Linked DNA regions of Mus musculus. The protein of the gene in region 1 purifies or fractionates together with the protein of each later gene. This does not show direct contact. Links are inferred from orthologs where the notes say so. Each region holds a gene or a part of one and is shown in the gene's direction. Other genes may lie near its edges. The genes, in order: Sf3b4, Ddx42, Dhx15, Rbm17 and Phf5a.

Region 1 (4,970 bases):
TTCATTAATTTTGCCTCCTTCGATGCTTCGGATGCAGCAATTGAGGCCATGAACGGGCAGTACCTGTGTAACCGTCCTATCACTGTGTCTTATGCCTTCAAGAAGGACTCTAAGGGTGAACGCCATGGCTCAGCAGCTGAAAGACTCCTGGCAGCCCAGAACCCGCTGTCCCAGGCTGACCGCCCTCACCAGCTGTTTGCCGATGCACCCCCTCCGCCCTCTGCCCCCAATCCCGTGGTTTCATCCCTGGGTTCTGGGCTTCCTCCACCAGGTACAGCTTGGAGTTCAGACTGTGCCAGTGAGGCTCTTGGGAGGGAGGCTCAGGAGGCAGAAGCAGCCCTGGTAGAGTAAGCTGCTAAGTTGTTGGGCAGTGAGACAGGAGTGAGGCGTGCTGGTGGAAGGGATGAAGTTGGCGGATGAAGTTGGCAGATGGAGTGAAGCTGAAGGGAAGCCTGCAGGGGGGAGGCTGGAGCTCTGCAAGACATTAACTGTCTTCCATTTCTTACACAGGCATGCCGCCTCCTGGCTCTTTTCCACCTCCAGTGCCACCTCCTGGGGCCCTCCCTCCTGGGATTCCCCCAGCCATGCCCCCACCACCTATGCCACCTGGGGCTGGAGGACATGGCCCCCCAGCAGCAGGGACTCCAGGGGCTGGACATCCCGGTCACGGACACTCACATCCTCACCCGTTCCCACCAGGTGGGATGCCCCATCCAGGTAAGGGCTCTGTGCTGGGAAGGAGCTGAGCTTGTGAGAGGGGCTTTCTTACTGTCTGTCCTGGTAGTCTTGGATGAAAATAGTCCAGAGTCCTCCTTTTCTTCAGAAACAGACAGTACTTTGTACGTGTTGGTGCTCCTGTTTTATCTCCAGTTCTTGTATTTCCTAAAGGATAGCTTGTACTGGGCAAAACTCTCAACCTCTCCTCTGCTTCCAAGGTTGCCAAATCTAGAAGACATTTCTGCTTTTGGCTTTTTGAGAAACGGGTTCTCTGTGTAGCTGGCAGTGTCAAACTCAGAGATCCTCTTGCCTCTGCCTCCCAAGTGCTGGGACTAAAGGCGTGCGTGTTTCTAGATTTCTCTAATGTCAACCATAGCAACCTGGATCGGCTCCTTTTTTTATGTTTGTGTAGATTTTTTGCTTGTTTCTCTTTTCTTTGTTTCTCTGTAGTGTTAAATGTGAAGGTGCTAATTTACCATTGGTCTCTGGTCTTAGGTTCTTGGCAGGCTAGAAAAGGCCACTGCTCAACCCACACTTAACTTTCCTCTTTCTGACACCATCTTCAGTAGTTCTCACTTGTAGGAGCCCAGTTTACAACTCTGGGGCTTTGTCTGTTCTGTCCTCCACTTTGCAGAGCAAGTCTAGCTTATGTTTTTGTCATTGGTCACAAGCCAGTGCTCAGACTGCACTCACTTCCTGTCACTGACTCAGGGACTCATCTACTTTCACTGAGTAACTTTTCCAGGGTATTCACAGACATTTTCTTCTTCTTTTGTTTTTTTTTTGTTTTTTTGTTTTTTGAGACAGGGTTTCTCTGTGTAGCCCTGGCTGTCCTGGAATTCTCTTTTGACCTTGAACTCAGAAATCCACCTGCCTCTGCCTCCCGAGTGCTGGGATTAACGCGTGCGCTACCACGCCCAGCTCAGACATTTCCTTAAAATTCTTCTGTTGCCTTTACTTACAGAAGAAAACCTGGTCTCACTGCTGGCGCTCAGGGTCCTCTTGGTTGGCCTAACTTACAGGCATTGTCATGTTTACTGTTTGGTGTTCACACATGCCAAACTTTCTGCTTGGAGCAGTTGACATCCACTCTCTTGTCTTCTTTTTTTTTTTTTTTTTTTTTTAAGATTTATTTGTTTGTTTGTTTGTTTATTATATATAAGTACACTGTAGCTGACTTCAGACACACCAGAAGAGGGCATCAGATCTCATTACGGGTGGTTGTGAGCCACCATGTGGTTGCTGGGATTTGAACTTCGGACCTTCTGAAGAGCAGTCGGGTTCTCTTACCCACTGAGCCATCTCACCAGCCCTCTCTTGTCTTCTTAAGGACTTGTTTTTGAATACAGTGTAGCCCTGGCTAGCCTGGAACTCTGTAGACTAGGCTAGCTAACTCACACAGATCCACATGCTTCTGCCTCCCTAGTGCTGGGATTAAAAGTGGGCACTCCATGGCAGGCTAAAATTTTCTTTTCTTTTTTTTATAATTTAGCGGGTTTTGTAAATTTTGTTTTGTTTTGTTTTGTTTTGTTTTTTTTGAACCAAAGTCTCCTGTGCCCCAGGCTGGTCTCAACTTGCTAGGTATGTAGTTAGCTACTACTAATCTTTCTGCCTCTACCTTTAGCGTTCTGGGCAATTCAGATATGTGCTACCAGGTCAGATATGTGCTACCAGGCCTGCTCTTCCTAAGGCGTTCTTACTGGCCTTTTAGAATTAAGTCATTGCACGGGCATATAATTTCCACCCAAGTCCTGTCCTACACAGAGCAAAAATTCTGCTTGTTTTATCCTTGGCTGTCACCATCTCTCTGTTTAAGTCAGAAGGAAAGTGAATGCACATTTCATTGTCTTTTTTCTTCACATCAAGAGAAAAGATATTTCTGATGTGCTAAATAAACCTGGGGGAATATTAGCAGCATGGCTACTTTAGCCAGTGCTGTCAGTCACCTTCAGACAGATTGCCTGAGCACGTGGCACTGGCTGGGCTTTACTGTAGGAAGGGTTAAGAATGGTGTCACTGTGTTTAAGTCATCATTGTGCACTCTTCTGTTTTCTTTGCTTTGGTTTCCTTTTTTGTCACTGTCTCCTTGTGTGGTTTATCCATAGGGATGTCCCAGATGCAGCTGGCCCACCATGGCCCCCATGGCCTAGGACACCCCCATGCTGGGCCTCCGGGCTCTGGGGGGCAGCCACCACCTCGGCCACCTCCTGGAATGCCTCATCCTGGACCTCCTCCAATGGGCATGCCCCCCCGAGGGCCTCCTTTTGGATCTCCCATGGGTGAGTGGGTGCTAGCCCATTTCTTATCTTTGCCTTTGTGCAGCTTTCTTTGCCCCTCGCCCTGTCTGGTGCCCTTTCTTTGACTTCCCACATTCCTGCTCTCATCCCTACTCATCTCCACATTAGCTGCTTCCTGTTTTCATTTTTGTTAACTCTTTTTCTTCCTGCAGGTCACCCAGGTCCCATGCCTCCACACGGCATGCGTGGGCCTCCTCCATTGATGCCCCCTCATGGATACACGGGTCCTCCAAGACCCCCTCCCTATGGCTACCAGCGGGGGCCCCTCCCGCCACCCAGACCCACTCCACGGCCCCCAGTTCCACCTCGTGGTCCTCTTCGGGGCCCACTTCCTCAGTAAATTGCCATCCTTTGTCTCCTCCTTTTATCCTCCCTTTATCTTCATTTCTTGGACCAATCAGAGATGCTGTAGCTTGTCAAGGCTAATGTACTGACCCTTCTCAGTAACTCTGTCCCCATTCCAATGTCATGTTTTCCACTGGGGATTTTCTTCATTTTTATTTTAAAATGTTGGTCCTAATTTCTTTACACATGTATAGAAAAATAAAACTATGCTTCTTGTTTGTTCTCTGGTGAAGTAACTTTTAGGAGGAGTCTGGGTTTGTGGGAGGAACAGTATGAAAAAGGGAAGGTGTTTACATTGTAAGGATTTATCTTGCATGTACTTGGAATAGAGCTTATCTTGTTATAGTATGGAGGCATTAGCAACAGAAATAAAATGTCTGGTGATGTGCTAGCAAAGAGTGATGGGCACAGGGGTATCCATTGTAGCACTATCTGGAATTTGGCTGGGAAGTGTCTTTGATTGAGAGGGGCTGGTATGATACACTGGTAAGTCCACATAGAGCTTTACAGCTTTGCAACAACCAAGGAGCTGGGAGAACAGCTCAGCAGCAGTGCATCCTGGGTACTTGCTCTGCTTTCCTTCCTTGACACCAGAGGAGAAAGATGATATATTCTTGTGAAAGATTGTGCGGGTCATAGTAAATGAAATAGGGTCTGTGTGTGTATCCACCCATATATATATATATGATTGGCTACCTTTATCCAGGGGGTAGTGCATATATGTGTGTGTATGTTTGCTTATATTTAAAAAATAGATGACCAACCAATGGAAAGTACCATTAAAATATGGAGGGAAGCCTTGTGCCATTTTATTTTATTTTATTTTGAGCTGGTTTTTGTAACCCTGGCTCTACTGGAATTCACTAGGTAGACCAGGCTGGCCATGAACTCAGATCTGCCTCTGCTGGGGTTGAAGACACCATGCTCAGAGGAAGCTTCAGCTCCTGAGTGTTATTACCATGGCTTTCATCTGGAGCCATGGGAATGTCTTAAGTAATTGCTAGACAGGGTGAGTGAGGAAAGCAGATGTTCAGTGAATGACGCTTAGATCTTAGTCCTAATTGCGTTCACATTCTCCATTCTTCCACTCTAACGTTTATGGTTCCTGCAAAGGCTTTGCTGGTGACCAGGATGAACACAGCAAGTGTTAAACTGTCAGAACATCTAACTTGGTCCGAATGTTCAGGAAGACTTCTTCGGAAAATAGTGATGTCTAGGTTTTTGGTCGGAAGATGGTCTTACTAGTCAGCCATGGTGGTGCATGCCTTTGACCCCGGCAGAGGCGGGCAGGTGGGTCTCTTGAGTTCAAGACCAGTCTGGCCTACATAGTTCCTAGGACAAGCCAGAGTTAAGAAGATGATCTAGCCTAATCCTAACCCAGAAGCCTTACCTGGTTCTCAACAGGCCTTGTCCTCCTGCCTGTCAATAGAATGTTGGAATTGGGAGGTTGCCATGCTCCTAGCTGGAGTTCTCTTGAAAGGTGGATCTAGCACTAAGGCTGTGTGAAGGCTGAGGTCAGAGCCAGGTTGGGCTGGAGGTTTTAGTGCTTTTCAGCTCTTTTTCATTGGTGACCATAAAAACCCTTCAAAACAGCTGGGCAGTGGTGGCGCA
Region 2 (5,911 bases), on another chromosome or scaffold:
ATTTCTTGATTGAAAATGAAGTTTAAAAAAAAAATCACGGCCAGGCATGGTGGCGCACGCCTTTAATCCCAGCACTCAGGAGCAGAGGCAGGCGGATTTCTGAGTTCGAGGCCAGCCTGGTCTACAAAGTGAGTTCCAGGACAGCCAGGGCTACACAGAGAAACCCTGTCTCAAAAAAAAAAAAAAAAAAAAAAATCACTTTTATTTAGTGAATCAGTTACATTACAGAAGCTTAAAGAGTGAATTCAGTAAGAAGTGATTTTTAACAGAATTTGCTTTATCTTTTAGCTCTCTTATTCAGTGCAACTTTTCGAAAGAAGATTGAAAAGTTGGCCAGAGACATCTTGATTGACCCTATTCGAGTGGTGCAGGGAGACATTGGAGAGGTAGGTAATCCTGCTTAAGGCAGGGTGGGTCCTGGGATTTATTTCTCATGAGGCTGTGGAATTTAATTCTTAAGTAATGATTGTTCTGTTTTAGATTTAATTTTTTTTCTTTTTTTTTTAATGATTTGTTTATTTTTATTTTATGTATGTTGGTGTTCTGCTTGCTTGTATGTGTGTGACAGTATTGGATCCCCTGGAACTAGAGGTACCGATAGTTGTGGACTGCTATGTGAATACTGGGAATTGAACCCTTGTCTTTTGGAAGAGCAGCCAGTGTTCTTAACTGCTGAGCCATCTCCACAGCTCCTGGATTTGTTTTAAGATAGACAAGTTAAGGGAATAGTGAAAACACGAGTGGCACAGATGATTGATGGAAGATGAGTGATGGGTATATGGGAATTAACAAGTTTCACTATGTAGCTTTGGCTGTCTTGGAACTCACTTGTAGACCAGTAGACCAGGTTGGCCTTGAACTCAGGGATATCCCTGTTTCTGCCTTGTGAATGCTGGGACTAAAGGCATGTGCCGCCACGCCTGGCTTTTTCCACAAGTTTTTAATGTTTTAAAGTTTTAAAAGAACTGGGTGGTGGCCCACTTCTTGAATTCCAGCATACAACTGAGTGAAAAGAAGTCAAGGCAGGAAACTGGATCCAGCAAAGGCCATGAAGGAACACTTGCTTATGTCATGCTTCCCATGGCTTGCTCAGCCTACTTTCTTATACAACTCAGAACCACCCACCCAGAGGTGGTACCACCCCAGAGGGCTGGCCTCTCCCATCTCAATTAGCAACCAGAAAATACCCCACAAATTGCCTACAGGCATTCTGTCAGTTGAGGTTCCTCCTCTGAGATAACTCTAGCTTGTATCAATTTGACAAAAACTCAACTAGGACAATAGGGTTTTTGACACATAATTATAAATATTTATGGGATATTGTGTGGCATTTCAATACATGTATGTAATGTGTAATTAGCATATCTAACACCTCAAATAGTAAATCCTTTCTTTGAGTTGGAAACAGATCTTTATTAAAATATGTATTTATTAGCCAACCATATGTATAATTTCTCATAGTTGTTTTTAAAGTTTCTGAGTGGTAAGCACCTTTGTATGTCGGGTTCTTATTTTTAATGTACTTACATATAAATTCTGCTTGACAGGGAGTGGGCAAGACCCCGAAAAGTACTCCCGAGGGAATAATAAAAATAGGTTTATAACAATCATTGTAGATTATTTTGGCATACAAATTAGAAATGAACATACCGGGGGAATTGGTGTGCAAGGTGCTTTAAAGGAATAATAAGTTTTAAGCTATATTTGACATACTAAAGGAAACCCCAACGATAACAGGGATTGTGCAGAGCTATTCCCATGCAGGTAGAAAATAAAATACCTAGTCTCCGAAGTTTCCTGTGACGTGAGTCACAACTGGTTATTTATTTCCTCTCAGGCGAATGAAGATGTGACACAGATTGTGGAGATTCTCCATTCCGGACCCAGTAAATGGAACTGGCTGACTCGGCGTCTGGTGGAGTTTACTTCCTCGGGGAGTGTGCTCTTGTTTGTTACTAAGAAAGCCAATGCTGAAGAGCTAGCCAGTAACCTGAAGCAGGAGGGTCATAATCTTGGTCTGCTCCATGGGGACATGGATCAGAGCGAAAGAAACAAGGTTATTTCAGATTTTAAGAAAAAGGACATCCCCGTCCTGGTGGCCACTGATGTTGCAGGTAAGAGTATGAATTTCATCATAACCCCAGCCTTTATTTTATGGGTGTTGCCTTGCTCTGTAATGAGACCTGTAGAGCGCAGTGGCTCTGTGGCCACCTTCATTTACTATTCTTGGTCATCAGAGTACCCTTGCAGCCAGAGGATGTCTTGAGGGGAACAGTTATGCCCTCATGTCCACTGCAGTGTGTATCTTAAATTAGTAATATAAGCTTTGGCTTTACTCTGTTAAGTTTATCGGCTACCCTTAAAAGCTAGTGTTTTGGACCTCCAAGATGGTTCACTGGGTACTTGCCAACCAGCCCTGACAGCCTGAGCTTGGTACTCAGGACTCAAAGTGGAGGGAAAAAAACCCGACCCCCCCCCCCCAAGTTGTTTTCTATCCTCTATACACAAGTTGTGATATATATGTATGCATACACCCACACCCACATCCACACACACACACACACACACACACACACACAGAGGTTCTGGGTACTGAACTCAGGTCCTTATGCAAACATGATACTACTAACTGAATTACAGTCCTTAAACGGTTAACTTGTATGGGGTTGGGGAGGGGGTTGTTTGTTTGGGGGGTTTTGTTTTGTTGTCTTTTCAAGATAAGGTTTCTCTGTGTAGCCCTGGCTGTCCTTATGTAGACCAGGCTGTCCTCAAACTCAGAGATCCACCTGCCTCTGCCTCCTGGGTACTAGGACTGAAGGTGTGTACCACCACACCTGGCTTCTGTTTTTATTTTTGAGATGAGTTCTTATATACGTATAGCCCAAGTGACCTTGAACTCCAGTCCTTCTGCCTACCTCTTTCAAGTATTGGAATTGCAGGTGTGATTCCAGTAAAATTATCCACAGTATTTTTTTATATTTATGTTACTCGCAAAAGAGTGAACTACTTTCTATTCTTGGCTTCATATCCATGAGCTTGCCTAGGTATGGGGAATGCACATTATTAGAAATCTAGCATTTCTAGTTACTTCGATTTTTTTTCTTCTTCTTCTTCTTAACTGTAGATAAAAAGTAAAAGAAACTCAATACTTTGTATTTCAGCCCGTGGTCTGGATATTCCTTCCATTAAGACAGTCATTAACTATGATGTAGCACGGGACATTGATACGCACACTCACAGGATTGGCCGGACAGGAAGAGCTGGTGAGAAGGGTGTAGCCTATACCTTATTGACTCCAAAGGACAGCAATTTTGCTGGTGACCTTGTACGGAACCTGGAAGGAGCCAACCAACATGTTTCTAAGGAGCTCTTAGATCTTGCAATGCAGGTAAGGGTTAGGCAATCAAAGTTAATAAAAACAATTCAACTGAGTAAGGAATTCAACAGGCAAGGGAGGGAGTAACATAGGAGCCTGAAAGAAAATGGGCAGAAAGGGCTGGTTACTATGTAGACTGGCACCATGGGATGTCACAATTCATGTGTATGTTCTTTCTATGCTTTCTGTTGAAAAACTGCTCCTTTCTTTGGGCTAAAGTCTGTTTCTTTAGTTTCTACTTGCCCCATAGCACACTTTTATGAGTAAGTTTAATATCAGAAGATGCCCACTGTTCTTGCCCATTCCTCTTCCCCAAGTCTTCTCTTTTTGAGGGCTAAAAAGTATTTGTTTACTAAGGAAACAATTGTGTGATTATTTGTTTTTGTTTTTGCTACTAGGCATTAAATCCAGGGTTTTTTGTACATGCTAGGCAAGTGCTCTACTATTGAACTGCACCCCCTGCCTCTCTGACATGGGCTTTAAGTATTTCTTACATTTTAACATTTCACATCTGACCATACTGATTGCCCACTTCCAGATATGCTCTATTCCAAAACTAAGTAAGATACTGTGCCAAATTATACCTTGAATCACTTATTCTGTGCAGTTCTCAAATAACAAGTTGATTCAGGACAGTTTGTTTTTTATTGCAAGCTAGTGATTAAACTCAGGGTCTGTGGGTACTAGGCACACATTCCTCAAGACAAGTTCTGATAGTAGGAAGTATTTGTTTGACTCAAGCCAGTCTATTTGGCTGTTTTAGCCGTATGTTGTACAGCTGGGCTGTTGGGAATACTCTTGTTTGTCACGCTAGTGGTGAAGAACTGCAGTGCAGAAGAAAGGAGAGTGATCTTTTTTACCCTTTCCTTGATATAGAGCAAAACTAAAATTTGAAGGGTATAGTTTGCACAGTGTTTTTGTGCACCTTTTTTGTGTTTTGGGCTTTCTGTGCTCGGTACCTTTCCAAGCCTGCCATACTTTAGTCTGTAAGTCTTGGATGAAGCTTTAACTCCGAGATGTGTGCATTCTGCTTGTTTGCTCTTCTGAGGCAGGGCTTCACTATGTGGCCCTGGTTGTCTTAGAACTCACTATGTAGATCAGGCTGGCTTTGAACTGACAGACATCCACCTGTCTTTGCTTTCCCAGTGCTAGAGTTAAAGGTGTGTGCCACCATGCCTGTCTAAAATCAGTTCTTAATAAGCCTTATTTTATCTAGCTTTCCCCTTCATTTCTCAATATGCCTGTTCTTTATAAAGCTTTGCTCCTAACTGTGTAAGTTTGTGTCCAGTAGGAGGATTGAGTCATAGTTCCCAACCTATGGGCCGCAATCCTTTTGGGGGTCAAATGACCTTTCACAGGAGTTACCTAGGACCATCAAAAAAGACAGATGTTTATATTATGATTCAATACAATAGCAAAACTACAGTTATAAAGTAAGAACGAAATAATGTGGTTGGGGTGGCCCCAACATAATGACTGTATGAAAGCTCAAGCACTAAGAAGGTTGAGAAGTCCTGGGATGTAAGGTAAAGCCCGGGCCTGAGGAGATGGCTCCGTGGTTGAAAACACTTACTGCTCCTGCGGAGGACCCTGCTTCAGTTCCCAGCACCCACGTTAGGTGGCTTACACTGTAACTCCCATCCCAGGAGATTTCAGTGTCCTCTGCAAACACAAGGTGTGTAAGGTGTGTACCATGCACTTGGTGAACTTAAACTTACACAGACAGATACACACTCACTAATAAAAATAAATCATTTTTACAAACTCTAAAGTTAGACGTGACCAATGTAAAATAGTTATTTTACAGTTTATGTTTATTAATCACTGTACTTCCACAAAGGAGTAACAAGGGACACCTTAGGTAAGCACCGAAGCACACTGATAAATTTGTTATGTCAAGCTATCAAAAAGAGGGCATATTGGAGTTAGGAATGTGGCTTGTTGTTACAGTGCTTCCCTGGTGTGCTTGAAACCCTCAATTCAATCCCTGTTGCCATGTAAACTGTACAATGGTGGTAAATACTTCTAATCCCAGTCCTTAGGAAGTGGTAGTGGAAGGTACAGAAATTGAGTCATCTGTGTCCTCAAAAGGCCAAGATAGGACCTTTACTACGAATGGTCCCTCTCATCAGAAAAGCATCAGCTAAAGATGAACAAAGAAGCTCCTCCTTCCTACCTAAGTGTGTACCCTGTCTGCTTCTCTTCTTGGGTTTAACCTTGAATTGTGTTCTTTGCAGAATGCCTGGTTTCGGAAATCTCGCTTCAAAGGAGGGAAAGGCAAAAAGCTGAACATTGGTGGAGGAGGCTTGGGCTATAGAGAGCGGCCTGGGCTGGGCTCTGAGAATTCGGTGAGTCCATCCTACAGCAGTACTCTAGGGATCGGCCTATGTCTTAAATTATGGTGATTTGCTGTACCTGAGCCTCATGAGCCCCACGTCCTGTCCTTCAGGGGATTTGTATGTACTGTGCTGATACGAGTCAGTGTGGTGTTGTTTCACAATGAAACTGCTATGGGAGAAGCATGTGTGTGCTTGG
Region 3 (5,911 bases), on another chromosome or scaffold:
CTCCTCTTGACCATGATGGCCTCAGGGGTCAACCCAGTTTTTCAGTCTGAGCCATCTCACCAGCTCCCAAGAAATCTGGGAAGGACATTTTTATCCTAATGGTTCTTAATATTCCTGATAAGAATTTGTAATTATGTGTTTCACTACAATCCCGTGGTAGCTGAAATTAAATAATAAGATGATAAGATGCAAAGGGCAAGAAATTTTCACACATAAATGTATAAAGAAAAAAGCAGTAAGCTACTACAAATCATTATTTCCATCTTTGGAGTCCATACTTATTCCTAAATACAAAATGTAATATCAGTGAGCTCTTGGGATTTGGGTCCCATTGGCTGTGTAGTACAGTAGTTGTCTCTTGTCTTGCTCATTGGTGTTAAGTGCTTTCCTCGAATTTTCTGTAGATGAAAGTATGAGTATCCTTATGTATGCACGTTAATGCACATGCTTAGAAGTTCCCAAAGTGAGACTGTCAGAAAAAAAGTAGTTTATATAAAATATCTAGAGTAGATGACTAGTTTCCATACTTACTAGCAGTATATTAGTGCCTATTATTATTCCAAGTACAATTTAAACTGAAACATCAGTAGTAACCAGTGTTTGTTGGTACATTTCAGATATTCCAGGCATTATTACATGTATTATCTTATTAAATGTTTTTAGTTCCATCTTAAAAGCCACAGCTTGCATGTGAGCAAGAAAACATTGTTCTTAATAATTGTCAGTGTTGACTAAAGTGCTGTTTAAAGCACTTTTCCTTCCTTCCTTCCTTCCTTCCTTCCTTCCTTCCTTCCTTACTTCCTAAAAAGAGACAGCATCTCTCTACTACTGCGTAGCCCTGGCTATTAGAAACTCACTATGTAAACCAGGCTGGCCTCCAGCATAAGCAAGAGATCAGCCTGCCTCTGCCTCCTGAGTGCTGGGAGTAAAGGCATGTAACCATCACACTGAGATTGTTTTTAGTTTCTTTAAAGTTAAAAGCATTGCTTCAACTTGAAAATTTTTATGAACAAAACTTTTATAGTTAAAGTTTCCATTTAAACAAGAAAATGTGTATATGGTCATGTCTATAATGTATACAATGTGGAGAGGCCATGGATCCTCATCTAACAGACCTTTTGTATCATCATCATTCAGAGTAGCCAGTGTGAACTGCAGCAGCGTTCCTAGGCATTGCATCAGTTTTCTGCATATCCCTAAATGTTTCTTGATAGTTGATGTTTTTTCCACTTTGCAGAGTAGATAAAGTGAGTTTTAGGCCTTTGCTGTGGTTTTTATTTAAATTTTCACCTCACTGATTAGCAAATCCTTGTGTTTTGCATTGTATTTCTTTCTCTGCTATAGTAATGGAGCTGTAGGTGAAGTGTGTCTTGGAAAAAGGTGTGTGTTAGTATAAGTGTTAATTTACCACATAACATTACATGGACTGCTATGCCTTGTGTTTATCTTTCCTGAAGTTTTTGTTGCTTTGGAAAGGTTATGTCTTAATTGTCTTGGTAGTATGGATGGTGTTTATTACATTTCTTATTGGCTTTCCTATTAGGGTAATAACTACAGACATGAACCCTTTCTAAACTTTTCTGTGTGTTTGTGCTCATTTGTTTGAGATGGGAGTCTCACTGAATTTGAAGCTAATTTTTCCCATCAAACTCAAAATTCATCTGTCTCCCTCCCTCCCCTCTCACCTGGATCCTGGGGTTACAGGCCCACCTGAGGCACTAGATTTGAACTCAGGTTCTCTAGCTTTCACTGGACCACTAGGTCTGCAGGATATCTCATCCTTGAGCTATTTGAATTTGTATCCTTCCTTTATCCTTATTTTGAGGTGATCTAGAACCCAGTTAAGGAGTGCGTAGACAAAATTAGAAACAAAGGCCATGGTTGAGGTCTATTTCAGAGACAGACTTAGCTTGTGACATTTTGAGACTTTATTTTGTATTTCTTCTTTTCCCCTATTTTTCTTTCTTTTATTAAATGAAAAGAGTTTAAAACTTGTCTTATTGAAAATAGATTCTTCTCATATAACACATCCCAATCATAGTCCTTGTTCTGTGTCTCTGTGTTGTACGTGTGTGCGTGCCAGTACATGTGTGTGTCCCCACTCCACCTGTTACCTACATACTTTTAATTATTTTGGGCTTTGGCTGACTTGTGAGGCTTTATTTAGTTGTGTGTGTGCATGTGTGTTTTGTGGGATTTGGGTGTGGGGTTTTTGCTGTTCTTTGTTTTTTTGGTGGTTGGGAGGGAGGGGAGGAGGTTGGTTTTGTTCTTTTTAGTCAGGGTTTCTCTGTGTTGCCCTGGCTGTCCTGGAACTCTCTGTAGTCCAGGCTGGCTACAAACTCACCTGCCTCTGCCTCCCAAGTGCTGGGATGAAAGGCGTGTGCCACCAGCACTGGCTTTATAATTCTGTAGTGGGTATCATTAGAATGGAGGTAGAGAAGCCACAGGCTAGTGAGGCTTTTCCTCACTGTAAGATTATATGGGATAGAATCTTATATTTTAGGACTAAGATTGGATAAAGTTAACAGTTTCCCACTGCTGTGGCTAAACCATTCTCACAGTGCTGTGCTTAGTTAGCATCTTAGCTGTGTTCTGTTTAAGGTCTTGACTCTTGCTCCCCCATTACATTGTGGGGAGAGAGAGAGTGCTCTTTCTTGCTCTGGTGTACTGATATTTAGGTCACAGAAAATGGACTTTATGTGTTGTATGTTAAGAGCAATGACAGGTTTAGGGGTTTGTTTTTGTCAAATCTCCATATTGCCTCATTAATTTAGTCTGGGTCCCCAAACCTTATGGCAACTTATGGTATATGAGCTGGTCTGAAGTTAGAATGAGTGAGCAAACAGGTTTCTTCCGTCACTAACTACTCAGACCACCTTCAGATGCAACTCAAAGCCATATTGTTGTATTTTAAAATTTCTCCATTAAGAATATATGTAGTAGATATCAGAAATGACTTCTTAAAATAACTTCAGAAAAGTGAATTACTTAGTTTTTAAAACAATTCTGTATTTTGTGAATGTTTTTAATTTGACTACATTTCATTTCAATTGGTCTAGGTATTCACAGAGACCCCCTTGCCTCTGTGTCCAAATGCAGGGTTTTTAAAGGTGTATGCCACTATACCCATTTTCAGGTGTCCTTTTCATTGTTGTTTTGTTTTTTTAATTACCTTGTATTTTGTGTTGAGGATGTGTCTTGTGTATTCAGTTAAGACTGTCAGACTTGGGAGCTGAGCTATTGTGGTGGCCTGTGGTTCAGTGGCTATCATGCTTAAGGTTTTAGAAGGATGGAACTAGAGACTTGGTAGTAAAGAGTGTTTATGCTGTTATGTAAAGAATCTGGTCGTAATTTTTAATAACTAATTGATGTTTTTGAAATCACTCTGATTTCTAAATTTTTGCATTATTTCTAGGAAAGACCGGGAACGAGATCGGGATAGAGAGGACCGATCTAAAGATCGTGACCGAGAACGTGATAGAGGAGACAGAGAACGGGAGAGGGAAAAAGAAAAGGAAAAAGAATTGAGAGCTTCCACCAATGCTATGCTTATCAGTGCTGGATTGCCACCTTTAAAAGCTTCTCATTCAGCTCACTCAACCCACTCGGCTCATTCAACACATTCTACACATTCTGCCCACTCAACACACACTGGACACACAGGACACACATCACTTCCACAGTGCATTAATCCATTCACCAACCTGCCCCATACTCCTCGATACTATGATATTCTAAAGAAACGACTTCAGCTCCCTGTATGGGAATACAAGGATAGATTTACAGATATTCTTGTTAGACATCAGTCATTTGTACTTGTTGGTGAGACTGGGTCTGGTAAAACAACACAGGTGAGTTGTTAAATACCATGGTAAATGTGTTATGTGCATGTTTAAACTTAAGATGCTGATTGGGTCTTGGTAGTTCTTTTCCATTGTCTGTCAACTCATTTCCAGTTGTCTTGTAGAGTACCTTGAAGAATAGTACTTTGATGAGTACTTTTTAATGACTTTAAGAGTGTGATTCAAGTAGAGAGTGTTTAGTTTTTTCTGAGTCCACATAGGAAAAAAACTGGTATATTCTCATCTTGTAAGTATGACAGAAATAATTTCCAACACATTTTACCCTGGGACAATACAGACTTAGAAATACAAAGTTTGTTTTCTAGAGCTTGAGTAGAGAAATCTGAACAATTGGAGCAGTTGCTTCTACTCCCAAGTATTTGTTAGAATATTTTGAATTATGTGAATAGTGTTTAAAAAAAAAAACTTGAACTTGCCAGTCATGATAATGCATACCTTTTAATTCCAGCATTTAGGGATCAGGTAGGCAAGTCTCTGAATTCAAGGTCGGTTTTATCTATATAATGAGATCCTTTCTTAAAAGAAGAAAATGATTAGAAACGCTACAAGGTACAAAGTGTGGTTGTGACCTGCATCCATCTGCCTCTAGCATACAGTACTAAACACTGTTAAATGTGTCTCACCAGGTGCCCAGTTTTTAAACATGAACAAGTCGATCTTGTTGATAGACATGCAGCCTGTTTTATATTTTGTATATTATTGCATCTATTTATGTGTGTATGTTTGTGTATGGATGCACCCATGCCGTAGCACATGTGTGGCAATCAGAATAACTTAGAGTTATTGTTCATCCTATGGGTATTGAGAATTGAACTCAAGTTGTTAGCCTTAATGGCCAGTGCCTTTAACTCCCTCAGCTGACATACCAACCTCAGGCTTTGTTTAATGACTTCAGGGATAAGTATGTTTGTAGATTTTGAAATGGCTAGATTTATTACAGTTGTACTCCATGTAGCTAAATCTTCTTTCCTCATGGAGCATAGCAAATTACTCTTGAAACATCTATAAACTTTTTGGTTATATCCCTGAACTGTTAATCTGATGGTTGAATGAAGTACTTGTGGATTTAATAGGCACTTGGAAAGCCATTAGTTAAAAAAAGTTTCGTCTTGACTACAAAAGTTGCTGGACATGGTAGACATTTCTAAAATTCGGGAAGATACTGAAATTAACTTTATAATTGTCTATTTAATATGCAAAGATAAAAGGCATTTATTGGCTTACTCTTTACGTTTTTATGAATGTAGGGTAAACATTTATAGTTGGCACATGCTGCTAAGCAAGTGCTTATCACTTATCACTGACCTGTACATTCAGACCCCCCTGCCCCCCCCCCTTTTTTTTTAAGGAAGGATCTTGCTATGTAGTCTGTCTAGGCTTGCTTCTAGTTTACTGTCCTGCTGCCTGAACCTTAGGTGTGGACCACCATGTCTGGCTTAGGATTTTTCTTTATGTGATCAAAGTTGAGTATTTCATAGAGACATTTTGATATTGTAGCAACCAAAAATATTAAAAGACCCAATTGAGGGACAACTTGATGCTAATAAGAACTCAAACTTTTAGCTGTGGATGATGACACCTTTAATTTCAGCGTGTGAGAGGCAGAGGCAGGGCAGTTTGAAGGCAGCTTGGTATACAGAGAGACCCTGTATCAAACCCTTAACTTTTAAATTTAATGTGTTGAACTCTTGTAAAAAAAGATTCATGAGAATGTAGCTTTAACTTTATTAATATCAGTAGAATTTTAAATTATTTCACGTGCTATTAATAATCTTTGTTTAGTTAGTGTTTTTTGGAAAGTCAAACCATATGTATTTTTCATGCTTTTCCATTTTAAGTTTTTTTTTTAAAAATAAAATAGATGCATTGAAGGTAGTTTGCATTGAACAGATGGACAAACATAAAAAGAGAACCAAGTGCTGTCTATTAAGGTGGAAACTAGAATTGGGAATATGTAAAATATGTACTCTACTAGAAAAGTTTTGTCTGAAAAAAATTTGATGTGGGAAAAAAATTCAAGTTTATACAAGATGGGTTTTCATTAGGAA
Region 4 (6,591 bases), on another chromosome or scaffold:
AACCAACCAAACAACACCCCACAGAAAAACAATAAAAAAACAAAACAAACAAACCAAAAAGCCAAAAGAAGGCCTATAATAGTAAACCTACAAAATTGATTTTTTTTTTAAAGCTTCAATTTTCTTTTTTTTTTTAATATATTTTTTGAGTGCAGGTGTTTGGTCTGCATATAAGTCTATGTACCACCTGTGACTGTCACTCACAGAGGCCATGAGATCCCCTGGGACTATAGTTACAGATGTTTGTGAGCTGTCATGTGGGTGCTAAGTAGGTTATAAAGAGCCCCAGGTCCTTTGGAAGAGCAGCTGGTGCTCTTAACTGTTCTCTTCTGCCCCACAAAAACAAAATCTCAACTATTACATGTGTGTGTGTGTGTGTGTGTGTGTGTGTGTGTGTGTGTTAATTCCTTTTCCCTATTTATTATTTCCTATAGTGTTTACTATGAATAACAAGATTGTATTTTTTTGATGTACAGATTTTATTTTTTTTTCAACAGGAATTGTATTATAAAATGTCATGTCAAACTTTTAATCAACCCACACATGGTGTTGCTATCTGATTTCTTTATGTTTATCTGCCACAAGCTGGTACTTTATTCCAGGCTTGCATTTTCAAGCTTTCAGAATTTTTAAAATTTTTTAAATTTTTATTATTTATTTATTTATTTGGCTTTTCGAGACAGGGTTTCTCTGTATAGCTCTGGCTGTCCTGGAACTCACTCTGTAGACCAGGCTGGCCTCGAACTCAGAAATCCCCCTGCCTCTGCCTCCCGAGTGCTGGGATTAAAGGCGTGTGCCACCACGCCTGGCACTTTCAGAATTATTTGAACACTTTCTTGTAAATCAGATTATAATGTTGGTGTGTTCACTTGTGTAAGGTCCACCTCCACAGTTTTATGATGGCTATTCCTGGTTTTCAACTCGACTACATCTGGAATGAACTACAATCCAGAAATGGAGGGCACACAGGATCTTGAGGCTGGAAGACACAGGCTGCTGACCCAGATCTTGACATGGAGATCATGAGACAGCCCAGGCAAGGTAGTGCACAACTTTAATCCCAGGACACTGAGGCAAGCAGTTCTCTGAGTTCAAGGCCAGCCTGGGACAAAGCAAGTTCCGGATCCAGGTGTGGAACTTGAGGACATAAAGACATTGGGAGAAAGAAGATTGACTCACTCCTCGTCACCTTCTTGCACTTACTTGACAGCATCTCTGTTGGAACCGATTTCTTCAGATTGTAGCTTAGACAGAAGACCAGATGAAACAACCTACTTCGTGGGACAGAGCAACTACTAGATTCTTGGGTTTCCCATTCACAGCTGCCCATTGTCAGGTTAGTTGGACTGCAGAGTGTAAATCATTGCAATAAATTCATTTAATATATATAGACAGTCTATAGGTCCTCTGACTATAGAGAACCCTGACTGATACATTTTTCAGCTTGAATTCACCACCACCACCACCCTTTGCGGGGGGGGGGGGGGGTTGTTGTTATTGTTGCTGTTTTTCAAAATAGGGTTTCTGTGTAGTCCTGGCTGTCCTGGAACTCACTATATAGACCAGGCAGGCTTTGAACTCAGAAATCTCTGTCTCTGCCTCTCAAGGGCTGAGATTAAAGGCATGGGTCACAACTGTCCAGCTATAGCTTGAAATAATTTTTACATGCAACCAAAAATATGGGGAAAACATATTTACACAAAGCCCTGGTTTCTCTGACCTTTCTTTTGCCATTTGCTGCATTTTTATTCCAAGCGAGCAAGGTTTATAGTGTTTACATTCTTTCTCTGAAGACCTAGCTCAGTGTGTGTTTTTAATGCTATTAGATTCTGCAACATCTCGCCTGCAAATTTATTTCCACCATTTAGTATATAAGGGAATAGTTGGGAGTGAATACCTGGAGCCTAGTAGGGGATTCGGCTCCTACTCCAAGGTCAGAAGGCACATGAATCTCGAAACCTTGTGCCAATGGCGCCATCTCTTGGCCGGCAGAGAGGAGATGCAATGTAGTCCTCCCGTCAGCAGGGTGCAGTGCGAGCCGGAGAGTGCAGCTTTGCTTCCGCGAGTCACACGCAGGCGCAGACGTGGACTCCCGGCAGCCTCCGCTCTCTTACCCCGCGCGGTGCATCCCTTTGCGGACTCCGTGGAGGCTCGGCGCTGCGGCGGACTCCGGCGGTGGGCGGGCTTCCGCGCAGGGCGGCCGGGCTCCGCGCTGCCGCCGCCGTGGCCCATGGGCACAATCGTCTCGGAAGGCCGGGTGAGTGGCGCCGCGGCGGCCCTGGCAGGCGGTCTGATCCGGAACGTAGACTCGGGTGTGCGCGCCTTCACGGATGCGCTGGACGCGAGGCCGCGGCTCTAGGCCGCGCCGTGAGGGGCGCGGGGATGCGGGCGGGGCACCCCGAGCTGCCCGGGGGGTTCCCAGCCCTCCACGTTGGGCTCCTTCAGCCTGCCACGTTCCACCGGGCCACCTAGATCCCCCCTTCACCAGTCCCGATCCTCTTGACAGTGAAGAAAGTACCTTTCTCCTCTTCATGGCCCATGCCCAGACCAAGTTGTTGGGTCGCAAGACCGCAGTAACCCAGACTGCGTCGGGCCTCAGGAATGGAGAAGCCAAAACACAAACCCCAAAACTTGTTTCCTTCCAGAGCACCTGAAGTGAAGGTTGAGGCCGTTGTCTCACCGGGACAGAGAGTGTCTGTTGTAACCCCCGGCATGCTCAGGCCTGCGCTAAGGGGAGTTTTAGCGTTCATGTCCCTCCGCTAGCTTTCGAGCTTCTTCTGCTTGGACCAGTTGTGCTCTGAATGAGTGCTGCAAGCTCAGTAAGGTGCTTCTCCAGGGGTTAGATCTCTAAGAAGCTCGTTGGAAAACCCAGGCCTGGATTGATCCGAAGAACCAGATTACAAGCTGGAAAGACCTGGAAGAGGAGTTTTATTACAAGTGGAAAGGCTGCACCTATGAGGAAGAGGGAAAGCAAGAGCAGAGAAGCGCTGTAGAGTATTCTGCAGTTTAAGGCTGTGACAGAGGATGAAGAGGGACTTAGAAGGGTGATCAGTCAGACCTTCCTTTGAGAAGTCAGGAAGGGGGGACCATTGACATAAGTTCTTGTTATAATTCTGCTTGTTCTGGGAATAGGTGAGGCCTGTCTCTCTGCAACAGGTGGCTCTTTTAAATCATGGGGACACATTTATACTGGGCTGAGCTGTAAACATTTCGAGATAACAAATTTTAGTAAATATGAGTAATGGAGCCCAGGGTGGCAATATGTCTGGAATTCCAGTGCTTGGAAGGTGCAGGCAGGAGATTAAGAGTTCCGAGGACAAGCCACACGTGGAAATCACATGTGTGATTTCCTACAGGCGTCATTTTTCTCCTACCATATGGGTTCTTGTTGACCCCCTGATTTGTTATTATGTACCTCCTCCCCCCCACCACCTGTCCCCCGCATAAATTTTTCACACATCTTTCCAACAGGGAAGAGTTCCCTCTAGTAGGTCATTCTACAAGTCTTTCAGAACAGTAGAGAAATCTGCTGCGCTGTTTGCTTTAGTTACTCTGGTTAGTTTGTTTTTAACAGTCCCTGGCCAATGGTATCTTGGTAATACGGATGGGAAATGTGAACTATCAGAGATGGCATAGCTACACACGGAAGGGTATAAATGATTCGGTAAAACATCATTAAGTCCTGAGTATAAGATATGATTGTGGTGTGGATCAAGCTAACAGAGGTAGACTTTTAGACTTGTGATGGTTACTCTTGGTTAGCTACATCTGGAATCTACTAAAACCCAATGGCTGGCCACACCTGTGAGGGATTTTTATTTATTTATGGACAGGGTTTCACCTGTGAGGGATTTTATTTATTTATGGACAGGGTTTCTTTTTGTAACAGCCCTGGCCCTCCTGGGACTCATCGATGGTTCTGAGCCACCATTACAGGTGGTTGTTGGAAACTGAACTCAGGACCTCTGGAAGAGCAACCAGTACTCCTACCCACTGAGCCATCTCTTTGGCACCTGGAACTTTATAGTTAATAATGCCCCACATAGAGAGCTTCCGTCTTACTCCATTATCAGTTCTATAACTGAAGGATTTGACTCATAAGTCAGTTCACCATAGTCTTTTAGATTGAGAATTAATTCTAGGCTGGACATAGTGGCATATCCCAGCACTCAAGAGGTGTAGGAAAGAGTCACAAGTTCAAAGCCAACCTCGTCTTTGTGATAAGTTCAAGGCCAGCCTGAGCTACATGAGAGCCCTGAGGACTTTTGTTTGTTTGTTTTTTCTTTTTTAGTTTTTTGAGAGGGTTTCTCTGTATAGTTCTGACTGTCCTGGAACTCACTTTGTAGACCAGGCTGGCCTCAGAAATCCGCCTGCCTCTGCCTCCCAAGTGCTGGGTTTAAAGGCGCGTGCCACCACGCCAGGCTGAGGACTGTTTTTAAACTAGTGCCTAAGTATAGTTTTGCAGATTAGAAAGAACCCTGCATTTGTGACAGGAGGGTCCATGGTGCAGCTGTTTTAACACAGAGACATTCATAACTTGCTTCTGCTTTGCATCTTTTAATCTCTGTCCCTGCTTGTCTTTCAGCATTAAACCAAAAAGATGTCCCTATATGATGACCTGGGAGTGGAGACCAGTGACTCAAAAACTGAAGGCTGGTCCAAAAACTTCAAGCTCCTGCAGTCCCAGCTCCAGGTGAAGAAGGCGGCGCTCACTCAGGCCAAGGTAAGAACAGGCCCAGGGCAGGAGAGGGCAAGTCCGCTGAGTTCCTTTAAGCTTGCTCTTTGCCCCCTTGCTGGATACGTAGAAAAGAGTGGGTGGGCGAGGGGTGGAGAGCTGATTGCCTCTCCTGGCTCTTGGAAACAGCAGGACCATTCATGGAGTGGGAATTAAAAAAAGCCATGAGACTGGCTTTAGACTGGAGCATGCCTGAGACTGACTGCAAACTGTTTACAGATGCTGTTTTCATACCCCTAGTCCTAATAGTCTGGGACTTCTGGCCTAGGCTGGGTCCCAGCTAGTTTATTGTAAGAAGTTTGGAATTGAGCTTTGCAGAATAATCAGAGCCACCCCAACATGCATACAAACATATATACATACATGTTAAGTAAATTTTATTTGGTTGGGTTAATAATCGTGTACACTATGAAAGGCTCTGATGTTTGTGAACATACCCAGGATATATAGTTATAGGTGGGAATTGCTGTGTTGTATACCTGTTAGACTTGGCATTGTCTTGGAGACAGTGCAGCTTTTTCTTTTTCTTTGTTTCTGTTTGTTTTCAACATAAGATTTCAGTATGTGGCTTTGAACTGTCTGTGTCGACCAAGGTGGCCCCAGTTTCACAGAGGTCTGCCTGTCTCTGCCTACCAAGTGCTGGGAATATCACCCCACCCAACTATGCGTATATTTTAATGTCAGCTATTAGCAAATATCTTGAGATTGCAAATAGATTTTGTGGGGGTGGGGTTGTTGAGACAGGGTTTCTCTGTTTAGCCCTGGCTGTCCTGGAACTCACTTTGTAGACCAGGGTGGCCTCGAACTCAGAAATCTGCCTGCCTCTGCCTCTGAAGTGCTGGGATAAAAGGCGTGTGCCACCACGCCTGGCCAGCAAGTAGATTTTAATTTGTCAAAATGGACCATTACTTTAGAATTCATCTGCTAACCTTCTGACCTGAATCTTGAGGCTTCTCTATGTGGTTGATTCTTATGAGGAAGTGAAGTTGCACTGTATTGGTTCTCTTGGGCTCTTCAGTGCCTTTCTCAGAGTACTAGCCACGCTTGTAAAAATACTTGGTAGAGAAAATGTACCTGTATCTGAAAGGTGAAGGTATGGTTTCATTTGTATTTCATTTTTGAAACTACAAATTAAATTTTAAAATGAGCAAATAAGTGATTGTCATAACCCTACTGTGGGAAGTTAGGGTTTATATTGTGATTTTTTTTTTTTTTTATGATTCCTGGATGATATGTTGTTTGCTTAAAGCACCGTTAAAGTCCAGAGAGCTCAGACTTCCTGATAAGAGTGAAAGTTTGTACCCTTTAAATACTGAGAATTTAAACTTTCATGACAACCTCTAGTCCACACGGATGGCCATGGCATCTTAGCAACCTGAGAATTTGGTGTTGCTCACCAGCTTGCTGAGATATTCTTTTTTTTTTTTTTTTTTTAAGTTTTTTGTTGTTTTGTTTTTCTAGACAGTTTCTCTGTGTAGTCCTGGCTGCCCTGGAACTCACTCTGTAGACCAGGCTGGCCTCCAACTCAGATATCTGCCTGCCTCCGCCTCCCCGGTGCTGGGATTAATGGCGTGCACCACCACACCCGGCTGGGATATTCTTGTCTATAAGCTTTAACCTTAATCTGAACAGGTTTTGGATATGCGAGAACATAGAGGTATAAGTTAAGGAGACATGTAGAATAAGCAGCATTTGTAATAACAGTGTCCCAGAGAAAATGGAGATGGTATCAGAGAAGGGGGACTGCTGAAGATGGAGAAATCAGAAGTACATTTAGGAAACTGGCAGGGGTGGTGAAATGGCTCGGTGAGTGAAGGCTGATGACCTGAGTTTGATCCCTAGAACCCCATGGTGGA
Region 5 (6,686 bases), on another chromosome or scaffold:
TCTGAGATGCACGCAGCACAGAAGAGGTAAATGAAAGATGTTCTCAGAGTACAGAGTCAGCAGACATTGCCTGAGACAGGGTGGATTTGGATGCACCGGTACATTGAAAGGATCAGAGTACTACTCACTCACCTTAGCTGAATGAACACATGAGGAGACTCTGATTTTAATCCTGACTACAGCAGTCATCCAAGCTCTCAAGGTCTTAGATTCTCCACATTTAAAAGAAGTTAAACTACATCATTGTAAACACATTCTAATTCCTCATAATTAAATGCTCAATAAGCCTTGTTTAATGAAAACAATCCACAACTGATAGAAAAAGAACTTAGAAAGTTATGGGTACAAGGTCATGGATCATGGAAGGACACGAACTATAGCCCAGATCTCTTTCTACACCATTCTAACACTCACTTTCTAAGGTCCAAATGTGACATAATTCTTTTCTTACAAACTCAAAGGTCATGTATCCTATTAAATAGTCTTTGCCTGACTCCACTAAATCATAGGACAGTGGGGTCAGGACAGAACTCATCGTACTGTCTAAAGAATCAAAAGAACCAGAGATAATTTAGCTGCAAATCCCTTTCATTGGCCAAAAGTTAAATGATTTGTTCAGATAAATGAGTTTGATTTTGCAGTTTGATTTTAAGTAATTTGATAAAGAAAACTTCAAATGATAATGCCTCCTGGGAGTAAGGCACATAATTTTTAAAAATTATTAATTCTATGTTCCAAGTTGATCCAAAACAAATTCACAAAAGTAATCATGAAAGGTTGCCAGAAAATGTCTACAGTTATTTTATGGATTTCTTTTTATGAACAAAATACATTCTTTACAGTAAACATTATACGTTTCTAGGGCTGTAAGGTTAGTAGTGGGAAACCATCTGACAGGCATAGTCAATTTTCTAGACGTCTCATAACAGTCAAGGTCAAACTGTTCACTCTTCTCATCTTTCCACCTAGTATCTGGAAAGCAACTATCGGTGACTTCAAAATATTTGATTCTGTATTCTGACAAATACAAACGATCACACCCTGATTCAGAAAGTTCTGTGATATTAGCTGCCATGAACAACAAGAAGAGAGGGTCTGCAGGGTCACTGCTCAGGCTATGATCCTTTAGTGACACCATGAAAGCCACTACTTTGTCTATATCTTCCAGTTTTTCCACCTACCAAGTTGGGGGAAAAATTATCTCACATCTATGTCGTCAGATAAAACATCTGTAACATTAGTAAACAGCCTTGACATCTGCTGCAAAGGTGAGAAAGCACTCTTATCGTGACTATTTATTATGGTGGGGCCCAGAATAGTCCTTCTTGTGTCTATGACCCCGAGTCTCCTCAAAGGGTAGTAGTGGATATAGCTTCTGCAAACTCCATGCCCGGCAACCACGGATAAATGAGGCGACGAGTCTCTGCTACTGGTGGGAAGTGAAGGCTTCAAGCACCCGGCTTTAGAGGAACCCACAACCACCGCGCCCCCCAATCACCTTGTCATCACCTTGAGGAACAGAAAACCACCCTGGGGGAGCATGGATTCCACCCTCAGAAAAAAAGGAGTGCCTCCACCCTGGACCAGGCTGCCGCTGCTTAAACCCAAGCTTGCCGGCGGGCGGGGATGGGAACTGCGAACAGCCTGTGCCAGGGACGCCTTGACCTAGGACAACGCAGGAACCCACAAGGGCGCTGGGCCTGCAACCGCGACAGGTGCACGGAACGTCAGCCGCGAATCGAGCCCGCCTCGCCTGGCCTCGCCTACAGCCGCGGGCAAGGCAGGAGGCTCCCCGCCCCCGTAAACCCACGTCTCTGGGCTCGCTTACCTGCAGCCGGGTGACCAGGAGGCTGTAAGGCGCCATTTTGTGCACTGACAAAGATGAGGTCGCATGAAAGTGACGTGACAAATGGCGCCCTTAAAAAAGCATCGAAGGGGGCGGGGCTTACAGAGAGACGAGTCAACCGCGAGGGTGGGGCCTCCTCCCGCAGCCAAGAGTGCAGATAGCACAGTGGGCGGGGCTTACATGACGGAAACCCGGCGTGGAAAGCAAAGATGCGGGGAAACTGCCAACTCGGCGTTCGGCGCAACCTTGTCACCTTTGCCCTTGGGTGTGGAAGCTGGAGGGGAGGCAGGAGTTCAAGGTCATCCAGGAAAGAGAATATCCCCAAATCAACATACTTGGCGGAAGCATGCAAGAAGCCCTGGCGTCAATCCCCAACACAGAATGCAACATATGTAGAATTTTTACCCAAGAACAAACTTCAGTTTATGAGTTCAAATCTGGAAGTAAAGAGAATTTTATTCAAAAACCTTTGGTGCACCTGCAAGGACCTAGCGAGGAAACTCTCGCGAGATCTAGCCGGTTTTGGTGCCCCCCCCCACCCCCCGAGGCTAAAGGCTGACGGACAGCTTAATGGCCAATCACGGAGGAACGGAAGTAAGCACGCCGTAGGTTAAAGGTCGGGCGGAAGTTCCCTAAGCTTCCGGCCGCCGGCTTGGAAAAAGAGTTATGGCTAAACATCATCCAGATTTGATTTTCTGCCGCAAGCAGGCTGGTGTGGGTGAGTTGGGGACGTGCTCCCTTTTGGTTGAGTGGGATGGGATTAGAAAGTGGGGGACTAGGGACTTCAGCCTCCTCTTTAGGGCTCTGGTTTGCCGTGTCCACGTTTCGCGCCTTACGGTGCCTGGGTATTCTAGCAGCGCTCACCGGCTTGTGGCATCTTAGAAGAGGGCAGCAGCGCGCATCCGGGAGTCTAAGGCTGGCGGGATCCTCTGTGCCAGGTCTGGAGAAGCCGGTCTAGAATACTTTGAATTTTGGGGGGTTCCAGACATTTTTTTTATTTTTGACATGGCCTTTGGTGTAAAGCAAAATTTAGGGTCGTGGGCCGGGAACTCTTGTCTGTAATCCCAGCACCTGGGAGGCAGAAGGCTGGAAGATTGCTGCGAGTTCGAGCCTGGCTAGAGCTTAAAAGCTAACTCAAGCTACACAGTGGGATTCTATCACAAAAAAGTAGGGGGTGGGGGACAGTGGAGAGGGAGGAAAGGAGAATGTGACCACGATCCTGTACGGTTGACTGTAATCATTGCTACCTTCGCCATCCTCTATACTCAGTTTGACGAAAAACTTTGCTTGCTACCTCACAACCTTAATTTTAACGATGTTTTACTATCTTTGACCTTGCAGCTATCGGAAGACTGTGTGAAAAATGTAAGCCGAACACGCCCTCTCAGGCCTTGACACCTTTACTCTTTGAAGAGTCGTCAATTCCAGTGGAACAGCAAAGAAGTCTTTTTTTGGGGGGGGGGGTGTTTTAAGACAGGGTTTCTCTGTATAGCCCTGGCTGTCCAGGAACTCACTCTGTAGACCAGGCTGGAACTCAGAAATCCGCCTGTCTCTTCTTCCCAAGTGCTGGGACTAAAGACGTATGCCAACACTGCCTGGCTAGTAAAGAAGTCTTAAATAGATAAACCAGCCTGCAGAGGATACTAAATACCTGGCTGCCACCAAAGACTGCCCCACCATCCTCCCACTTAAGCATGCAATTTTTAATACTTCATATTTAGGTTTTGAAAAAAAATGTCTACTTTTGGACAGTAAGATTTGTCAAGAGTAGTGGGGACCTTCCCAGCCCAATGACATTTGTCAATTTGTTGACAGTAACTACATAGACTTAAAAGCTCCCAGACACTAATACAAACTCTTTCCATGAACTACTAAACTGAGACGGGTACAGGATAAGGCTTATGCTGTCAAGGTAGAAGAAGGTCCTAAGGTCACTGTCAGAAGGAGACTAGTGATTTCCCGCATAGGGCAGAGGAGAGATCTTAGGGGAGTAATCGCTATTGGCTATAACTCAGTTCTCCTCTCTCTACAGGTGACGGCAAGTGTGTGATCTGTGATTCCTACGTGCGTCCCTGCACCCTGGTCCGCATATGTGATGAGTGTAACTATGGATCTTACCAGGGCCGGTGTGTAATCTGTGGCGGCCCCGGAGTCTCCGATGCCTACTACTGTAAAGAGTGCACCATTCAGGAGAAGGATGTGAGTGTAGGCTGAGCTTCCTACCCGCTCTTCTCTTCCTTTTACTTTGAACCATTTTGCCATCCATGGCCACCTCTTCTGATCTGGGCTGTGGAGATTGCAGTGTTCAGCTAGTTATCTAGGTAATTTCTTCAAGCCTGTGAGCCAAACTGGGTGTGGTCTAATAAAGAGCAGTTACTCTGTATCAGGGCAGAATGGAAGAGAAGCAAGTCTTCATTGGTATCAGCAGTTAGGAGAACTTCTCCATGTACCTTGCTGTCTCCTGCGAATGGGTGTGTGGACAACCTGCTGAAGGCAGTTCTCCCTGTAGACTCTGGTCCTGGCGGTTGAGTGCAAATGTTAGGCTTGTCAAGTGTGTTTACCTGCTGTCTTAGTTAGGTTTCTTCTCAATGATACAACAAGATTAAAAGCAGCTTTAAAGAAAGAAAAGGTTTTCTTCCACACCTCCAGGTAACAGTTTGTCGATGCGGGAGCCACGGAGGATCGATCACTGCTCTTTCCCCTCCAGTTTGCTCAGCCTGCTTTCTTACTGCCTCCAGTTCCACCAGCCCATGAGTAGTGCTACCCACACTGGGCTGGGCTCTCCCATGTCTGCCATTAATCAAGAAAGTGCACCACTGGTCGAACTAGTGGGCCTTTCTCAATTGAGCTTTCATCTTTTAAAATGACCCTAGTTTGTGTCAGGCTGACATAAAGTTAGCCAGGGCAGCTCATTTTTATTCCTTTTTTTGTTTGTTTTGTTTTGTTTTGTTTTGTTGTTGTTTTGGTTTTGGTTTTTTTGAGACAGAGTTTCTCTGTGTAGACCAGGCTGGCCTCGAACTCAGAAATCCGCCTGCCTCTGCCTCCCGAGTGCTGGGATTAAAGGCGTTCATTTTTATTCTTAGCCACATGTAAGATCCTCTGTTTGTGTGCTAATGAGTACGTCGGTGCTGTGTAGAAGACACTCAGTGGCTCTGCCTGTATCTGTCTTCCTCTTTTTCTCACAGACATAGGTGCCAGTGTGTCTCAAAATGGCCTGGAACCAAAGGTCCTCCTGCTTCAGCTTCCTGAGTGCAGAGGTTACAGATTTGTACCCACATAGTGGTTCTCTGGGCAGGGATGTAGGATGTGGCAGCTACTGAGGTAGCCTTGCTATGTTGGCCCTGGCTGGTCTAGTGCTCATTATGTAGTCCAGGGTAGCCTGAAACTCAAAGCAGTCCTCCTGCCTCAGCCAGCCTCTTAGATAATAGGATTACTTGCCCAACTTGGTTCTCTTAAATCCACTGTGATTAAAGACAGTTTAGGTAGATCTGGTGGTCACATGAGTTAGGGATAGTTATAGTTGATACCAGCTTTAAGTAAGAAGAATGGTATCATGTTGCAAATTGGTTGCTGGTCTTATGTTTTTGTTTCTTGACTGGTGCAGAAAGGAAACGTCTATTGCTTGAGTAAAACTAAGTAGAATATAGTCTGGCTGGACTAATTGAAGATGCTGGAGAACCTAAGCAAGGAGGAGACAGCTGAGCATGGTGGCGCACACCTTTAATTCCGGTACCTGAGAGGCAGAGGCAGGCAAATCCTATGACTTCAAAGTCAGACTAATGTACAGAGCAAATTCCAGGACAGCAAGGGCTACAGAGAAACCCTGTCTCAAAAAAAAGGGCAGAACATAGCTCTAAATATTCCCATGTGTGTGTAGGTTTGTAGGTGTAATCGCTTCCTCATCCCTCACACAGTGTAAGTAGAGGTTATCGTTTTTCTAACCTGTCCCAGGCTGTCTGACTAAACCATGTGTCCACATTACACCATGTGGTCCTTTCTTGAGGCCTTGGTGTGTGCTCGTGTTAGAGAATTAGCACACTCTGCATGCAGATGCTACTCACCGCCAGTCCCGGAGCTCTGTATGGTGCGGAGGCGGATGATCTGCGGTAGCTGCACTCTGGGTTGTGAATGACGATGTAATAAAGGGAAGTAAGGGAGGAAACGGGGAGCAGGAGACAGACAGCAACACATCCTCAAGTCGGGGTCCCACCACATCAGCAGAACGTGCCTGGGAAGCCACATCCAGGCATTTAGCTAGGGCTCCCAGTTGGGAGCTTTTTCTCCATGGGTGAATGTCAGGCTTCTCTTCCCTGCAGCCTTTTATAGCACAGGATAAACCTGTTGGAAGTGGTTTGCTTCCGTGGTGGTCTCGAGGCTTCAGTGTCTGGTTTAATTTCTTTGTTATATCTGTTTACCTGTGTGTGGGCATGTGGTGTCAAGAGGACAGCTTGTCTGGAGTTCCTCTTCTCTCACGGGAAAGTGCTTTGGGCCAATGAGCCATCTTGACAGCCCAAAGCTGCTGTAAGCCCTTACCTGTTTGCTGGTTTTCCCTGTCAGTGTTAGGAAGCAAGAGGGGTAGCCCGACCCAGGATGGAATGTAAGACCAGCTGAACGGCTGAAGACGGGTTTATGGTGTTGAATCCACATTGTTTGGGGAAAGGAGAAAGTGTTGAAATCATAACTTGGGTTGGCTTGAACCCTCTCCTGCCCTTAACCCTCTTTCCAGTTACCTGTGACAACTAGAACTAGATTGGTCATGTTCTGCCCTCTACCTCTCCTTTTCCTGGATGTGGGTAACGGTCTCATTTTCTATGTACTACAAGGATGATACTCCATTTTT

The links.
Region 2: the proteins of Sf3b4 (region 1) and Ddx42 purify together in Homo sapiens (affinity purification with mass spectrometry; 3 studies listed by BioGRID and IntAct, with this or other methods). This does not show direct contact. The link is inferred for Mus musculus from reciprocal best matches to the Homo sapiens genes SF3B4 and DDX42.
Region 3: the proteins of Sf3b4 (region 1) and Dhx15 purify together in Homo sapiens (co-immunoprecipitation; 4 studies listed by BioGRID and IntAct, with this or other methods). This does not show direct contact. The link is inferred for Mus musculus from reciprocal best matches to the Homo sapiens genes SF3B4 and DHX15.
Region 4: the proteins of Sf3b4 (region 1) and Rbm17 purify together in Homo sapiens (affinity purification with mass spectrometry; 4 studies listed by BioGRID and IntAct, with this or other methods). This does not show direct contact. The link is inferred for Mus musculus from reciprocal best matches to the Homo sapiens genes SF3B4 and RBM17.
Region 5: the proteins of Sf3b4 (region 1) and Phf5a purify together in Homo sapiens (affinity purification with mass spectrometry; 6 studies listed by BioGRID and IntAct, with this or other methods). This does not show direct contact. The link is inferred for Mus musculus from reciprocal best matches to the Homo sapiens genes SF3B4 and PHF5A.

The regions. Positions count from the first base shown.
Region 1 is NC_000069.6:96,173,813-96,178,782, forward strand, and holds the end of Sf3b4 (splicing factor 3B subunit 4), read left to right. Parts: coding exon 1-271; intron 272-510; coding exon 511-717; intron 718-2,548; exon of another isoform or gene 2,549-2,675; intron 2,676-2,822; coding exon 2,823-2,996; intron 2,997-3,166; coding exon 3,167-3,354; 3' UTR 3,355-3,752; downstream 3,753-4,970. UniProt on the Homo sapiens protein: Component of the 17S U2 SnRNP complex of the spliceosome, a large ribonucleoprotein complex that removes introns from transcribed pre-mRNAs.
Region 2 is NC_000077.6:106,239,714-106,245,624, forward strand, and holds part of Ddx42 (ATP-dependent RNA helicase DDX42), read left to right. Parts: intron 1-288; coding exon 289-386; intron 387-1,837; coding exon 1,838-2,114; intron 2,115-3,161; coding exon 3,162-3,388; intron 3,389-5,613; coding exon 5,614-5,724; intron 5,725-5,911. UniProt on the Homo sapiens protein: ATP-dependent RNA helicase that binds to partially double-stranded RNAs (dsRNAs) in order to unwind RNA secondary structures. Unwinding is promoted in the presence of single-strand binding proteins.
Region 3 is NC_000071.6:52,182,408-52,188,318, reverse strand, and holds part of Dhx15 (pre-mRNA-splicing factor ATP-dependent RNA helicase DHX15), read left to right. Parts: intron 1-3,415; coding exon 3,416-3,851; intron 3,852-5,911.
Region 4 is NC_000068.7:11,598,751-11,605,341, reverse strand, and holds the start of Rbm17 (splicing factor 45), read left to right. Parts: upstream 1-2,142; 5' UTR 2,143-2,257; intron 2,258-4,585; 5' UTR 4,586-4,600; coding exon 4,601-4,723; intron 4,724-6,591. UniProt on the Homo sapiens protein: Splice factor that binds to the single-stranded 3'AG at the exon/intron border and promotes its utilization in the second catalytic step. Involved in the regulation of alternative splicing and the utilization of cryptic splice sites.
Region 5 is NC_000081.6:81,867,691-81,874,376, reverse strand, and holds the start of Phf5a (PHD finger-like domain-containing protein 5A), read left to right. Parts: upstream 1-2,484; 5' UTR 2,485-2,512; coding exon 2,513-2,564; intron 2,565-3,187; coding exon 3,188-3,211; intron 3,212-3,878; coding exon 3,879-4,045; intron 4,046-6,686. Other genes in the region: Aco2 (aconitate hydratase, mitochondrial precursor), read right to left, coding at 1,829-1,864.